Linked DNA regions of Drosophila melanogaster. Changing the gene in region 1 together with any one later gene gives a genetic interaction. Each region holds a gene or a part of one and is shown on either strand. Other genes may lie near its edges.

Region 1 (6,541 bases):
AGCCGCGATCATCTCGATCCCTGGCCAAGTGCATCGAACGTCTATATATGTGCGGCTCGGGCGGACCTTTTGCCGGGTCGCTTTGGGCCATGTTGAAATGCAATTGGCTACGCCCAAGAGATGTTGCCATGTTGAACGGGGCGTATGAGCAATCAAGGCAAATCGGAAAGAAAAGAGTAAAAGCAACAGTGTTTTCACACGCCCCGCCGTGAGCATCGAACAAAAACACAACTAAAAACAAAATCGAAATGTGACTAGTCGTAGGAATAAGAAATACGCTGACTTGTGATAATACTGCAGGCATACAGCCAACTCATCCCCGAAATAAGACGTCATCAGCACGTGGCCAGCCATAAATATAATGAAAATAAAATCGAACCAATTATGAGATATATATATATATATATAAATAGATACACATTTAGGGATGCAGCTGACGCAAAGAGAGTGCAATCTTTTCACGGTTTCGTCATATATTTTCGTTTTCGGCGCGACGATGACGTTTTCAGCACTCGTGCCTCGGGAAAACACCCGTAATGTGAAAACTGTGTGCCGCCTAATCCGTTAAACTGGCCGATTTCATGGCCCCGCTGGCGTCATGGCTTAAATACTATATACCACAACTAGTGGATGCACCTCACCTGGTCATATGTTCTTCGGCGATTTGTTTTGCTCTGGTTTGTCATCCGATGTCGGGCACTTTTGGCGCCCATCGCCATTATGGTACTATATAGCCAACTTATAAATATAGATGTTTGTTTTGCCACGTCTAATAGTCAACTGAGTCTAGTGCATTTCGCCCTGCATTTTCACTTCTGCAATCGATTGGCAACCCTCGGTTTAGTGTTTAACTGCATTTCACCATAGAAACTAATTTTCTACTTGGGTAGTTGTTTCAAAAAACCTATCCGAAGACTATCGAAAGGATACCTATCCATATGTAGCGCATGATAATCATTCTGTAATATTGACAATTAAATCAATTTAGAATGTGCATATAGTAGATTCCTGTGAATTGAAGGCTCACATGGCCCACTTGCAGTTGAAAACGCTAACCGCAGAGTGCTTAAAAGCTGATTGCTGGGAAACACTTAATGGGCGCTAAGTTAGCCGCAAAATACAGTCGCTTAAGAAGCGGCTAACAAGTGGCTAACCGACTTTGCCGCAGCGAATGAATTGGCAAAGCCTTTCAAGCCGTTTAGTAAGCCCAATAATCGGATGCCCCACCGCCGGGCGCCCTAACACCACCCACCGAACCAACCACCCACTCGGCAATGAAATGATCGATCTATCTTTCCCATGCTTGAGCTTCAATCGGCGATGTTTTTTTTATGCGGTTATTAATAAAAATGCATTGGCCATCCCTAGCCGTCGATAGTGAGTATCTGTGTGGAAATCGGACGCACTGCATCTGTGTGCGGTGTTTATTGTGCAGCTTGTAAATCATTTTGCGTCAGGCTGCGTCCGCTGCCGTCTGCTGAAACTGCGGCGCTTTGCTGACGCTGGTAAACATGTGTACGACACCAAAAACAGCAGCACATGCTCACCGAGAGCCAAGACGGGTCTGCACACACAACTAAGGTCAAAGTGGTGGTAATTGATTTAAGCCCGTCTTTACAGTTCGGTATAGTTGCCTCAATTAATTTTATGCAAATGCACTAAATTTCATAGCATACAATTTTTAATGCAAATGATAGCTTGAAACTAATTCTGATGTAACTATACAATTAATTTTATTAATGCACTAAATTTCATAGCATACAATTTTTAATGCAAATGATAGCTTGAAACTAATTCTGATGTGCTTAAAAAAAAACTATACCGAACATTTTTAGAGCTGCCTTTAATAGTACTCCAAATGCTTAAACTTTTTAATTGTTAAATCATTTTTGAATCATAATCCAAGAATTTTTAAAGTTCTCTGCCTCATTTTCTTGACCTCTACTGTGGTTGCTCTCGTATTTTGCGAATGGAAGCTTAATATTTTCACCATTTTTATGATGCATTTTGAGCAGTTTTCATGCAAATTTATGTCGTCATTGTGCGTTGTCCAACCTACCCCCACCAGCCACGCCCCCTTTTTTATTCAAGTTGCATTTTTCAGATTTTTTCCCGACCTGCCTTCTCAAACGGATTGAGCAAACAGTTAGCTTCTTGGCCGATTTGGCAATGCGCGCTGCACATTGCGTATACGCCGCGTGTGCTATTAGCGAATTAGAAGAAAACACCACAGCGGCGTTTGAGTTTGGAAAATACAAAAAAACAAAAAACGAAAAAGTCACCAACACCGATAAGCCGAAAGGGAAAACCAAATACATACATGTGTTTCCATTGGCAAAAAAGTGGCTGTTGCCGGGTGAGCTGGAGGTGGAGTTCGAGTCTGAGTTGCAGTTGGAGTTGGAGTTGGAGGAACTGCAGCAGGCCAGGTGATTGATATCGCAACCGTCGGGAAAGAGGTTGCGGCAGGGGTAAATCAAAGGCAGAGTCGGCAGAGGCGGCGGCAAGAGGGGATGTTGCTGGTGTGTTTGGTGCTGCTGTGCGTGTTGCAGGTGTGATGTGTGTGACTGCTGGTGTGTCGGGGCATTGAGGTTCTGTCTGTAGCAGGAGTTGTTGTTGATCTCCTGGAACAAACTGCTCTCGGTGTACAGTGAGGCCTCGCACTTAATGGCCGTTGCCTGGTGGTGGCTAATGCTCGTGTTGCTGCCGCCCTCTTGCTTCACCACAATCAGCGAGGCAAGCCGATCGCGCATCATAGACCACGATTCTCCGTTAAAGAACCCAAAATTAACAATGATGTTGATGGTGATGATGGGACACAAACATAAAACGCACACAGGACGGGACAACACAGATCACACACTATATGGTTTCTAAATAGGCACCTGTTTGGCGCCCCGAGCGGCGCTGGTGATCCAGCACGACTGTTCCGAGTTGGGCTGGGATTTTGCCTCAATTTTCTTGGCTGCGGCAGGAGTGGCCGAAGCTTTTGTCGCAGTAGCTCTGATTGCAGTAGTTATTATCGGGCTTCATTTTTCTGTCCTTGCCCGGCTGTTGTTTTTGTTGTGTGTCCTTAGACTTGAACTTGCCTCCTTTTTTTTTTGGCTTTTTTCTTGTTGCCTTTCCTTTTTTCCGGCGTTTGCGCAGTGGCCAAGTGACGATGTAAGCGACGTAACGACTTACGCACGCTATACTATATCAACTGGGGTCTCTATATACATATACATATATATTCGGTTGTGGTAGTTGCAGTAGTGGGAGGCACAAGGACGTTGCTTACACTTTACACACTGATACACACACGCGCGCAATGGGCAACACAAAAACAATTACTACTGTTCTTCAGCTCACGTGCTCGTTAAAATGTTAGCAAAACTTTCAGTTCAAAAATATCTGTGTCTTGTCTCTCAGAAATGAAACGAAATTTGAATTACTATAGATTAATTTACTGCACATTCGCAGCGGGGTAAGATAGATTAAACAAACATACGCAGCGTTGCCCACCGAAATATATGCATTGTTCGCTTAAGAAAGGTAAAGGTGAAGTATACGCCGCGTTGTCAACCGTTGGAAGTTATTACGCATACGCCGCGCTGTCGACCGGCTTCCGTTTCCGCATAGAACGAATGCACGAATCGATAAAGAACAACAACTTGTTGCAATTGTTTAACTCTTGAGCACTCACACCTATGTTGGCTTTGTGTTTCGTTAATACTGAACGCGATGTTTATATAGTTGTGTGGATTAAAGTCTTAGTTGGCTGACTTAAGATCGGAAATTCAGAACCATCGAGCTCGCCTCGATATAAGTTCTATATTTTGTATTGGCTTTTCCGTGAGCGGTGGCTGTTTGGGCTAAAGTTGTTAACAATGCGGCGTCTGTGACGCGACTGAACTTATCTTTACGGTTACACGCGACTATATTCAACGCGTCGCGTCGACAGCGCTGCCTCAGCTGGCGCCGTGCTGCGCTCGCGAGAGCGAGTGAGAGCGAGAGTGAGTGTGCGATGGAGAGGGAGGGGCGACGGCAAGCGAGCGGGACACGACCTACCTTTGCGGCCCGGCTATTACGTCATTTGGGGCCAACAACTGAGCGCAGCTCGTGCGAGGAAAATCGATGACGTCGTTGGCAGAGCGCCTGCGCCGGAAAATCCCCTCCACCCATTTTCAGCGACCGATTTTCCGAATGCAGTCCAGTGGGACAGTTCGGAAGCGGAAATTATGTGCGTCATAAAACCGACGTTGGCCATCCCTTTTGCTCGCATCTGAGATTGATTGGGGCTCTTGGTGCCGTTTCACCTGCTCCGGCTTACCACTCCGCCACCCACTTTTCCGCTTTTCCAACCGCCCACTGGGTATCCACTTCTCGCCTGCTGCCAAAACTTCCGTTTCTCTCAGTTATCGTACACAGGAAACATGTTTATTAATTTCAGGATATATAAGGACGTACAATTTGTAGGAATATTCCCTTATGCACATTGTACATCATCTACACACTTGTCTTTAAATATCAATCTCTTTTCCATGTGTAGACTGTACTCTAATGCATTTATAAAAAGCATGTTTTTAATGTTGTTTGTTTTTTTATTGTTTGTCTTAAACTACATATTCTTCTCAGTGTACTAAGTCTGTGTGGGCATTCTGTGGTGTCGTTTTGGTGGAAAGGACTTCCTTGCTCTCGTGTGTGTGGGTGTATTCAAAGCAAAGGAAAATGGACCAGATTTCGAGGAATATGTTTATGTGAGTCAATCCCATGATGGTGAGCGTGGGTGGAAAAGTAAAGCTATCATGTTAAATAGGAAGATAGAAATTTCGAAAAGAATAACAAGTATCATATGGCAAGAATTCAATATTCTATTTATAGTGATTTACTACTTTTGAATTTGGTTTATATTTATGCTATATAATATAATTTATAATTATGCTATAAATATTTCAAATTGAAATTGATATGCAAAACGGACTTTTAGCCTAGAAATGAGTCTGGTTTTCCTTTCAACTTAAATCACGATTTTATATTTATCTCAGTTACCCGCTTTTATTCCCTATTTCACTCCAAGTGCTAAGACAAATCGATTTCACACAAGATCCCAGGCCAATTTCGCTTTTCCACTTAACAAAATACCATCCTGCCACTTCATAAACCAGATCACTCTTTCCTCATCCCCAAATATAAATAAGCTGCGCCACAAATCATTTGGCCGATATAACTGGCAATAACACGATCCGAGCGATTTTCCCGCCCCGCGAGCCGTCGGAAAAGCGGGAATATTAATGCACTTTACCATTGACACCGGCGTTTGCAGCTCGTAAACAACAACGAGGAAAACAATAATAACGCAAAGCCAGTACAAATCTTCTCTCCCAAGATCGGCGACACACGACTAGAGAACGGTAAACCCGAAGACGCGGCGTCGACCGCGCTGCCAGCGTCGACTGCACAGAGAGTGAGAGTCTTGGCGCTCGGCACCCGAACCCAAATCCAAATCTTCGGGATCCGCAGACTCGTCTTTGCGGCGGCGACGTCTTCTGGCGTTTAAGGTTTCGTTTTCATTCGGCTTGTCGGCTTGTCGGCATGTCGGCCGCTCGTGTGCTGGACTGCATTCGCTGTGGCTATTTTTAGACAGGTTCCAAGCCACGTTTTCTAACTGTTGTTAGCGTACGAACCGGAGATCGCGGGCTGTGCACTTGGGCCTCTCCATGTGGAAGCCGCAGACAAAACGTGAGATCGCTGAGTCGGCCGGCCGACTGCTGCGTCGACCGCGACAGAGCCGAGCGACTTGGCTTTCTGGGCGCAGTGGCTCTTCCTTTCGTTTTCGGCTACATTTTTTCCCATAATGCTTTTGCCCGGGTCTCGCGGCTCTGGGTCCGGCTCACACTGCGGCCCATTGTGGCTCCGGGGTGCGGTGTGCTGTAATGTGCCGCTCTGTGGTGTGGCTTCCCATGTACATATATATTATTGTAGTTGGATTTGGGAGCGACGCAAGTGGAACTGGTCTGTGGCAGGCACCATGTGCATTCAGCACAGTGGCTGTGGATCACTCGTAAAAGGATGATGCCTCTCCATGGCTATTAAAGAAGTAGTTTCTAGGATAATGTGGTACTACCACTAGAGGTAATGAGTAGTGTTCCTAGTTATTACTCCGTTTATTCCCGATCTTTATCTATTTTTGTTATAATCTATATCTATAATCTTAAAAGCAGCTTTAGTGGCATTTCTATATTCATTTCATTGTAATATGAGAAATGGAAATATCCACGTTACTCATTAGTGGATGTTAATGGTCAGAGTTTTAGTAGTTCCATGGCGTATTAAGCTTTCTAGAAACCGCCTCCAAATCATATGGACTCTAAGCCACTGTTTCGGCCAGCTTTCTTGCTGTTGTCGATGGTGCTGTCGCTGTTCCTTTGGCGATTATGGTGGTGGCAGAGGTGGAGGTGGTGGTGGTGGTTCCAGTGGTGCTAGTGGGGCTAGTGGTGCTGCTGCTGTTGGCTGACCTGCTGGTGGCCCCAAAAAGTGCATGCAAACAGCTTAGCGTTGGAGT
Region 2 (8,756 bases), on another chromosome or scaffold:
AAGCTTTCAACTCCAGTCACTCGCTGCACGAATCGTACTCGCTTTCGCTTTTCTTGATTTTCGTTTTGATGCCCGGCGTTCCGGGAGTTGTGGTTGTGGGTGATGGTAGCGTATTGTTGTTGTCAATAAGCGCAAAAGAGCTATTGCCTCCAATGGGTTTGTGGTAAGTGCTTGGTGGACTGTCCACACAATCGGACGAGGTGCACACACGTTCTTGTATAATGAGTTTCCACAAACGCACTTCGATGCCAACGCTGCAAAATACCAAAAGTTAGTTGAGCATGGATTAAGTGTACTTTTCTTATAAGCTTTAACGCACCGCAGACCCAGCCTCATGAGGTCCAGCTTTTCCATGTTATAGATAAAGTCGTCAAATGTAAAACCTTCATTCAGGATGAGCGTCTTTGAGAACTCGTCTATTTCCTGCTGGGTCAACCACTGCTCCAACTGCTCGTCTACTTCGTGAAGACCAAAGTGATGCTTGTTTAGCTGCCTCCGGGGATTGCCCGCTATATTCGGACGGACTCCGGACGTTCCGCCCACACTGGTACTCATTCTATGGCACTTTTTGTTAAAGCCGTTTATTGTGCGTCTGTTAAGATGAAATTGTGAATTATAATAAAATTTACAATGTCCTACTTGGTTTACCAACCTTAATCTCTTTCTGCCGCCCATGTAAATGTGAGCCAGCTCCTGACTGATATTATGCAGGGCCCTCATGCTCTGCCGCTGCTGCTCAAGGAGCTGGCGTTGCAGCTTCTGCTGATTGTCACGGATGTCTCTCAGGATGCGCGCGCACTCCATCGAACTGGACAGAGCATCCCCGCCCGATTCCGCAGGCGTTAATCCCACACCTTCGCGAGTGTTGCTCGTGGGAAGAACTTTTTCCAGGCTCTGCTTTTCCTGGCTCTCGGTGGAACCCTTCTGCATTAGACTTGTACGCAAGCTCTCATCATCATTTCCAGACAGGTCTTTGTCCGCCAGATTGGCGCCCAGTTCAGGAGAGAAAATAGTGACCGCCGCCTGGACGGCCCGCTTAACCAGATTATCCAATGCGAACATCCAATGGGGTTTGATGCAATGGTACCGCAGTACGCAGACCACGGCGTCCTGAAAGGAGTACAGCGCCAAATGAAGATGGTCCAGAGCAACTGCGTCGTTGTTCAGCTTTTGTTTCAGTTCGTTGATAGTCGCTTCCAAATGCTTTTCGTTTTCGTTCATAATGTAGTCCCGCAGTCCTCGGATTAGAACCTCCAAATCGCTTTTCCTAATCGCAATCGAGTTCTGATCAGCGTCGACCTTCTTCAGCCAAATATCGCAGATCTTGGATTCGTCTAGTGCCAGCACCTTGGAAAGCGTTGTCCGCCTCTGCGAATCCTTTTTAAGCCTGTAAAAACCGTCAGTCTCGCTCGTCTCACTAATGCTCGTACGCAAGGACGGCGTGGAAGGTTCAATCTCTGGCGAGAGCAAAAATCCATGGGAATTTCGCCGTTCAAGCATAAACTGGTTGCTGGGCAGCTCGTCAATGTCCACCGAGGATGAATGCGTTATGCTGAAATAGGAAACAGAAAGTACAATATAAAATTACGTTTATTTTACAATACATCAAGTGCTATCTCTTCTCAGTATCAAAATCCGAGTGCGCATTTTCCAATCATTAAATATGCACTTTACTGATAGCAACAATCAATGTGTTAACTACACGATAAGCAAAGGCACTTGTTACTCTTATAATAGTAGACGATATGGGAAAATATAGAGAAGCACGGAAAAATTTTTATATTCATTAAAATTAGCAAAATATAAATGATAATTTTCAACAGATAAGATAACCTCTGCTTGTAATTGAGGAAGGTCGAACATGATAAGAATAGTCGCAGCGTTTAACTTACTCCAATTCCGGCGTTGTGGGCGTATTGCAGGTTGTGTTGTAGCTCAGCGGCGGTGTGGTTTTGTGCACAAACCGATCAGCCGGCACCGAAATGCTGCGTCCGAACTCAGTATTGATGGGCAGGGCTGGGCGCACCTTGCGGGGTTTACTTATTGAGAAAATTAAAAGTGCAATTAGAAAGGAATTAGGCAAAACAATTAAGCAAACTCACTCTTGTAGGAAGGGATCTTCCAGAAGTTGCGAGGCGGAGGGTCGGTCCATCACGCTGATGGCAAAGCAACGCAAAATAAAGTTCTTTGCGTTGGCGGACAGCTCCTCGGGTATGTTCGGATGCTTCTTGTAAAAGCCCACCTTGAACATGGCCGCATGGGCGCTACCCAGCTCGATAAACGGTGGTTTGCCCGTAGCCATCTCAACGTTTGTGCATCCAAAGGACCAGATGTCAGCCGCCGGGCCATAGCCGCGTACTCCCTGGTCAATCACCTCCGGCGCCATGTACTGCAAGGTGCCCGTAAAGGTCTCCGTCATCGGGTTGATGCGGGCCAGCCGCTTGGAGGTGCCGAAATCGGAGATCTTAACCACGCCGCTATACGTGTTAACCAGCACGTTGTCACCCTTTATATCGCGATGAACAATGTCCTGCTCGTGAAGGTACTTCAGCCCCTCGAGGATCTGCTTGGAGTAGAAGGCCATGGTGGACTCGTTGTCCTTGAGCGGACCCCATTTGGTCTCTAAGAGGTCGGAAAGCGATCCTCCCGGCACCTGCTCCATGAAGATCTTGAAGAAGCCGTTCTCCGAGCACGATCCCAAATAGCGAACTATGTTGCGATGTCGCAGCTGAGAGTGTAACTTAATCTCCTCGTGCAGTGGCTGCACATCCTGCGAGTTCTTTTCCGGCACCTCCTTAATGGCGATTCGCACCTGCGTCTGCTTGTCCCTGGCGGCGTACACGGTGCCATAAGTACCTTTGCCCAGCACCATTTTGCGATTCTGCTCATCGTAGTCGTACTCGTACTACAATTAATAATAATTAGCAAAAGTGGCCGGAATATATGTATATATGAATAATAAATAACTTACCTCGATATTAGCGTCATCATTGCTGAGATTGACAAACACCACCTGATCTGCAGTCATCTCCAGGATCATATCGTAGAACTTTTGTCGTCGTTCAGTGGAGGGAAAATATATTTGAAAATCATCTGAGTTGTGATGGACGTACAAGTAGGCACAACGATCATCCCTCTTGTAAAGGCTGACGGACTTGATCTTCGATGCCACGAAAAGGAAGTCGTGGATTTTCTTACACGCATTCTTTGCGTGAGCCAAACAGATGTTCACAATCTGAATGGACTTCTCATCCGCATCCATGTTTATAGTCACATAACTGGGCATATAAATCTTCTGAGGCTCGAGGATCTGGAATTTGTTTTGAGTTAATAATAAAGCTTAAACTGCAGATCAGGGGTACCAACCAGAATCGGAAAGCGAATGCTGTTCTTAACCTCCTCGGTGTTGGTGGCCTCCAGAAAGAAGTCCATCCAGAACTGGAACACCTGCTCCTCGATGGGCGGCTGGCGTTCCTCGGGCTTCTTTCGAAATCGATGTATAAGAGAGATATTTCCGATGGTCGACTTCAGATACCAGTTGGGTGGCTTTAGCTTGAACATGCACTCGGCAGCTTGAATCGCCTTGGCGTAGTCGTTGGCCAAAACGGAGATCTCAAAGAAGGTGGCCACATCCCAATACTCACTCAGCGAGGATAGGCTGCCCTTTTTACCGATTAAATTGTTTAAGGTCATGCCGATGTGCTGCAACTCCTCCGTATTGGTAAACTCCTTGCCCTCGATAACCAGCAGAGTAGCCAGATTGATGCCTGCATACTCATTCGGCTGCACCTCAAAGCTTTGGCGGTACCACTTGATGGCGTGCGCCAAACTGGTGGCGTCCGTGTAGTCGGATTCCACAAAGATGTCCTTGTAGATGCGGCCGCACAGGCAGAGCATGTCCGGAAAGTGGTTCTCCTTCTTTTCCAGCGCCTTCAGCGAAGATTCCAGAGCCTTTTCACGGTCTCCCTTTCGATTTCTTCGGTTCAGGGCGAAGGCGTACAGGAAACTCATGTTGCCCGTCTCCACGTACTTCCGGGTGTTGGGTATGTTCTTCAGGTCATTGACCAGTCGCACCATGGCATCGTAGTCCTGCACATCCCTCAGCGAGCACATGAAACTGTGTACCACTTCGCCAGACAGGACATGCGGATCGTCCAGCCGCTTTCGCATCTCGTGCAATATACTCTGCAGCTTGGCGCCGTTGGTGGCGTACGTGTCCCGCGCCGTTCGCATGTCACTCAGAAATTTCTCACGCATGTGGGCTCTGTAAATAACCGAAAATAGCTTCGTTTAGTTTTTAGGTACACAAATAATGCATAATAGGAACAGTGTTTCGTGCTCTGGCTGAAAGACTAATTAACTTAGCATCTATCTGGTACACCAAATTTAAGATTTCAATTACTTTCATTTCATTACTTGTTAACCCGTAGTAGTATCACTAAAGTTCGAAGTAATTTAAATTGAAAGGACAATTATGATACTATAAAGAGACTTAAGAATTTTCAGCGATTATTGATATTTTATATGCAATTCCAAGGCCAACACAATAAATCGGTCTGATTCATTTTAGATGCAGGGCGTGACTTTTGCAGCCAATCTGCCGCAGGGGATGTTATAAATAGTGTTCCGATATGCAATCACCGTGCATGACTTACTGCAAAAGGGGACTCCCTAGATTGTACTCACTTCGACTGGATCTCAACATCTTGCAGCTTTCGCTTGAGGCGCCACTGCAAAGTGGGCACTCGTCCTTCGGCATTGGGTTCCTTGCTGTTGTTGCCGCTGTTGGGCTGGCTGGTCAGGTGGCAGGAATTGGTCTCCGCATTCCGCTTGTAGCTGAGAAACAGGTAGTTGGCACACGAGAGCTGCAAGGGGAGTAGAGTGTACCTAATTTAATGACCGCCACTGTGAATGCAGGCCACGCTGCGTTGGTGTACACCGTGCTGTTAGTGTGTGCGTGCCTCTTTGAGTGTTTGCGTGGGCGTGCTCGCATTTGTTATTGTTATTGCTGGGCCAATGCTTTTGTTGCTTTATGGCCGCAGCCAAAACAAAAATAACGAAAACGATTCGACGGAAATACAGTCGAACTTCCATAGTTCAAATTATTGGCTGCCATATGGGAAAGAGGTTTTAGTTATTAACCTCTGGAAAGAGGAAGTTTTTCGGTTTCTTTTGCAATTTGCTAAAGGAAGACTAGTAGATAGAATAATTTTTAGTCATTTTCCAGAAAGAGGTGTCTAAGCACCTAGGTTAGAGACTTGTTATAAACTCAGTTCGCGTTGTGGAAGCTCGACTGTAGAAAGATCAGCAAGAACAACTAGTCCAGGAGTCCACGCAGTTGCTGGTCATAGCATTTATCTTATCGGAAGCGGATTCCCGATCACGAACGCAGATGTTTGCCAGGCACGCCCGGCCAGGTAAACACTTCCGAACGCACCTTGAGACTGAGCGTCTGCTTGGAATCGATGTCGTTGTAGGTGAGGATGTTCTCCTTCATCCCGAAGCTCTCCCTAACGCCGTAGTGATAGGAAAGCGGCCGCTGCTGGGTGAGAATGCTCAGGTCGATAATGGCCACATCGGCGTTGTAAAACGTCTCCAGCACATTCGTCTCGCCGAAGTCCAGGCGCTCGAACTGCAAGGATGCCAAGTGGGGGGGATGTAAGTCAAATCACCCATATGCCATTGTATAACCAAGCTGGCGCACCTGAACCCGCTGAAAGTTGGCGCCCGCCGACTGCACTGCCTGCTTGATCTCCTCCAGCGCACACTGGCGGTCCTCCAGATGGTCGCCCACCGCCGTATCCATTACACACACCACATCCATCGCTGTTTCCATCGCAGCTATTCTTGGCACTTTTCTGCTCTTGGACGGATTTCGCGCACTTCACGCGATTTCTGCACTTTCTGGACGGCCGACACGCGCAGCTCAGTGGCAAAAACTCTCATTACCACGTTCCTGCTGCACTTGCATCGCGTTAATTACCGCGTAACGAATAATTATCAAATAAATAAAGAAACTTTTTGCTTTTGCTGTGTGACCGCTGCACAGCTACCAGCAATATACCGAATGAAGTCACAAAAATACCACACAAATATGCTAACCGACAAAGCCTTGCTGCAGTTTTGGCGCCAAGTTCCCATTTTTTTGAGTCATTTAAAATTTGGTTTAAAAGATATAATATAATTAGGCATATAAAATAATAAGCTTTGTTTATAAATATATTTTAAAAGCACTTAAGGTTCATTATTTTAATTAATTTACAAATATGCAACGTCTAAAAAGTAGTCAAGAGTTTCACTTATTTTACTTTACTTTTTGAACGAAGATTTATTGTTTTGCTAACTTTTTCTAAAGAATTAAAATGTTGTAGGTGTTTTTTTCATGTATTTCTATCTATTATAAACAATTATACAACTCAATAGAACTAGCAAAATAGTATATTAAAAACGTTCTTTATTAAACGAGACACAAGTAGTACGGATATATAACTTTGATCTTAACTAGCATATTCCTTTAGAATGGAGCCCGCGATCACCAGTCGCTGGATTTCGGAGGTGCCCTCGTAGATCTCAGTGATGCGGGCGTCCCTGTAATGACGCTCGGCCGCCATGTCGGTCACGTAGCCCATTCCGCCCAGGATCTGGATACACTGGTGGGAGCACAAGGTGGCCGCCTCCGAGGCAGCCAGCTTGGCCATTGCAGCTTCTTTGGTGTAGGGCTGCTTTTGGTCCTTCAGCCAGGCGGCGCGCCAGGTGAGCAGACGTGCCGACTCCATGGCCAACGACATGTCCGCGATCTTTTGCTGGATGGACTGGAGCTTGGCAATGGGCTTGCCGAAGGCCTGTCGCTTCTGGGCGTAGTCCACGGCCAATTCGAGGGCAGCCTGACCAATGCCCAGCGCCTGGCCAGCGATTCCTATGCGGCCGGCGTCCAGCGTCTGCATGGCAATCTTGAAACCGAAACCCGGCTCGCCCAGCATGTTCTCCTTGGGCACCACGCAGTCCTCGAAAATTAGCTGGCACGTCGAAGATCCCCGGATGCCCAGCTTATCCTCCTTTTTGCCCAGCGAGAAGCCCTTGGTAGCCTTGGGCACAATGAATGCGGAGATGCCCTTGTGCTTCAGCTGCTTGTTGGTGGTGGCGAACACAATGGCTGCCTCCGCCTCGAAGGCATTTGTGATCCAGGCCTTGGTGCCATTCAGCACGAAGTGATCTCCCTTGTCGGTTGCTATGGTGGAAGCAGCTCCAGCATCGGATCCGTTTCCAGGTTCAGAGAGCGCGAAGCAGCCCACTCGTTCGCCGGTGGTAAACGGTGTGATGTAGTCCTTCTTCTGGGCATCGTTTCCGAAAGAGAGAAGCGGTCCCAGATACAGGGAGTTGTTCACCGACATGATGACGCCAGCAGAGGCACAGCCCCTTGAGATTTCCTCCATGGCAATGGCGTAGGCCACATAATCCAGTCCAGTGCCGCCTGATTAACAATAAAGAGATACAATGAGATACTATAAGGAGGGCTGAGGTGGGCGTAATATTAATTACCCAGCTCCTCGGGAATCGCTACTGCCATCACGCCCAGTTCGCCCATCTGGCGGATCTGTTTCTCTGGATACAGGTGCTCCCGATCGAACTTGGCTGCGTTTCCACTGAGCTCATTGTTGGCAAAGTCCCGGCAGGACTTCTGCAGCATCTGGTGCGTCTCCGAAAGCGCCGACAATGAGGCAATTTGACGAGCATTTAAAGATCTGCGGGCTGAATATCAATATCTGGTTTAGGATCTTGCTTATAGAAAACATTTAAATGGCTGGGGCTCAAAGTCCACACATCAGTTTGTCTTACCAATGCATAACGAGCGGGTGAGTACTGATTGCATGTTTGTGTGGGATTGCCTCTTACTAATAATAATTAAATATATTGCATAAAAGACGGATAAAATGTTATAAAAAAAACTCTACTATTACAAAAAATTAAAAATGGACAGTGTGACCAGAGGAGGTCACCGGCTGCATCTGCATGTAACAAGTGGTTCATCACAGGGTGACTCTTGTCCCGAATTTAACAAGTCGTCTTGTTACTAATTTAAAATTAAAATTAAAAATTACTAACTTTTCACTCATACGAAAACACTGATGGGTACTTTTAAAATGAAATAAACATAATTCCTAAGGTGCACGGAAATAAGATCCAACATGCCGCCTGAAAAATACTAAATTCCCAAATTCGTAAATTCTCGCGTGCATTCTACATTTTCAAGCTAAATAATGTTGGTACCATCAAATAATTGTTGATTTGTTTAGTTATTATTAAAAGAACGCAGACCAAACGAGGGAAATATGTCGCAGACATGCCAGAGAACGGAAACACTGACGATAGAGGCTCTAGATTTCATCTACGAGGACGAAATGGAATGTGAGTACCAATGAATACCTAAATGCCGGCTGAACTACGATTGATTTCGCTTTTTACAGACTTGCACCTAAAACAAGCGCCCAGAAAGGAGGAGCAAGTCAAGGCGGTGAAGATAAAGCGACTGACTTGCAACATAAACGGCTGCACTTACTCCACGGACCGGAGAAGAGACTTGAGGCGCCACAGGCGGTCGCAAAAGCACATGCTGCTGGAGTCCTGCTCTGACTCCGAGTCTGAGGTGGAATCGTCACTGTTCTCGTGCAACGTCTGCGGCTACAAGACCGCCAAACGGTATTGCTTCGACCGGCACAAGGAGTCGAGGCGCCACATAATGAAGGAGCAGGAGGAGT

What was found. Genes that interact genetically often act in the same process or in processes that back each other up.
Region 2: of Hr38 (region 1) and Ask1, changing one suppresses a phenotype caused by changing the other (phenotypic suppression), as found in Drosophila melanogaster (one study listed by BioGRID).

The regions. Positions count from the first base shown.
Region 1 is NT_033779.5:20,710,717-20,717,257, forward strand, and holds the start of Hr38 (hormone receptor-like in 38), read right to left. Parts: upstream 3,873-6,541; 5' UTR 2,754-3,872; coding exon 2,321-2,753; intron 1,585-2,320; exon of another isoform or gene 486-1,584; intron 291-485; exon of another isoform or gene 1-290. UniProt on the Drosophila melanogaster protein: Binds to NGFI-B response elements. Plays an important role in late stages of epidermal metamorphosis.
Region 2 is NT_033777.3:19,876,992-19,885,747, reverse strand, and holds the start of Ask1 (apoptotic signal-regulating kinase 1), read right to left. Parts: upstream 6,030-8,756; 5' UTR 5,825-6,029; coding exon 5,705-5,824; intron 5,633-5,704; coding exon 5,438-5,632; exon of another isoform or gene 4,866-5,437; coding exon 4,687-4,865; intron 4,265-4,686; coding exon 3,367-4,264; intron 3,311-3,366; coding exon 2,972-3,310; intron 2,906-2,971; coding exon 2,103-2,905; intron 2,040-2,102; coding exon 1,893-2,039; intron 1,553-1,892; coding exon 653-1,552; intron 593-652; coding exon 320-592; intron 255-319; coding exon 17-254; 3' UTR 1-16. Other genes in the region: Arc42 (Activator-recruited cofactor subunit 42), read right to left, coding at 6,498-7,471, 7,540-7,749, 7,837-7,870; CG17186 (uncharacterized protein), read left to right, coding at 8,331-8,406, 8,466-8,756.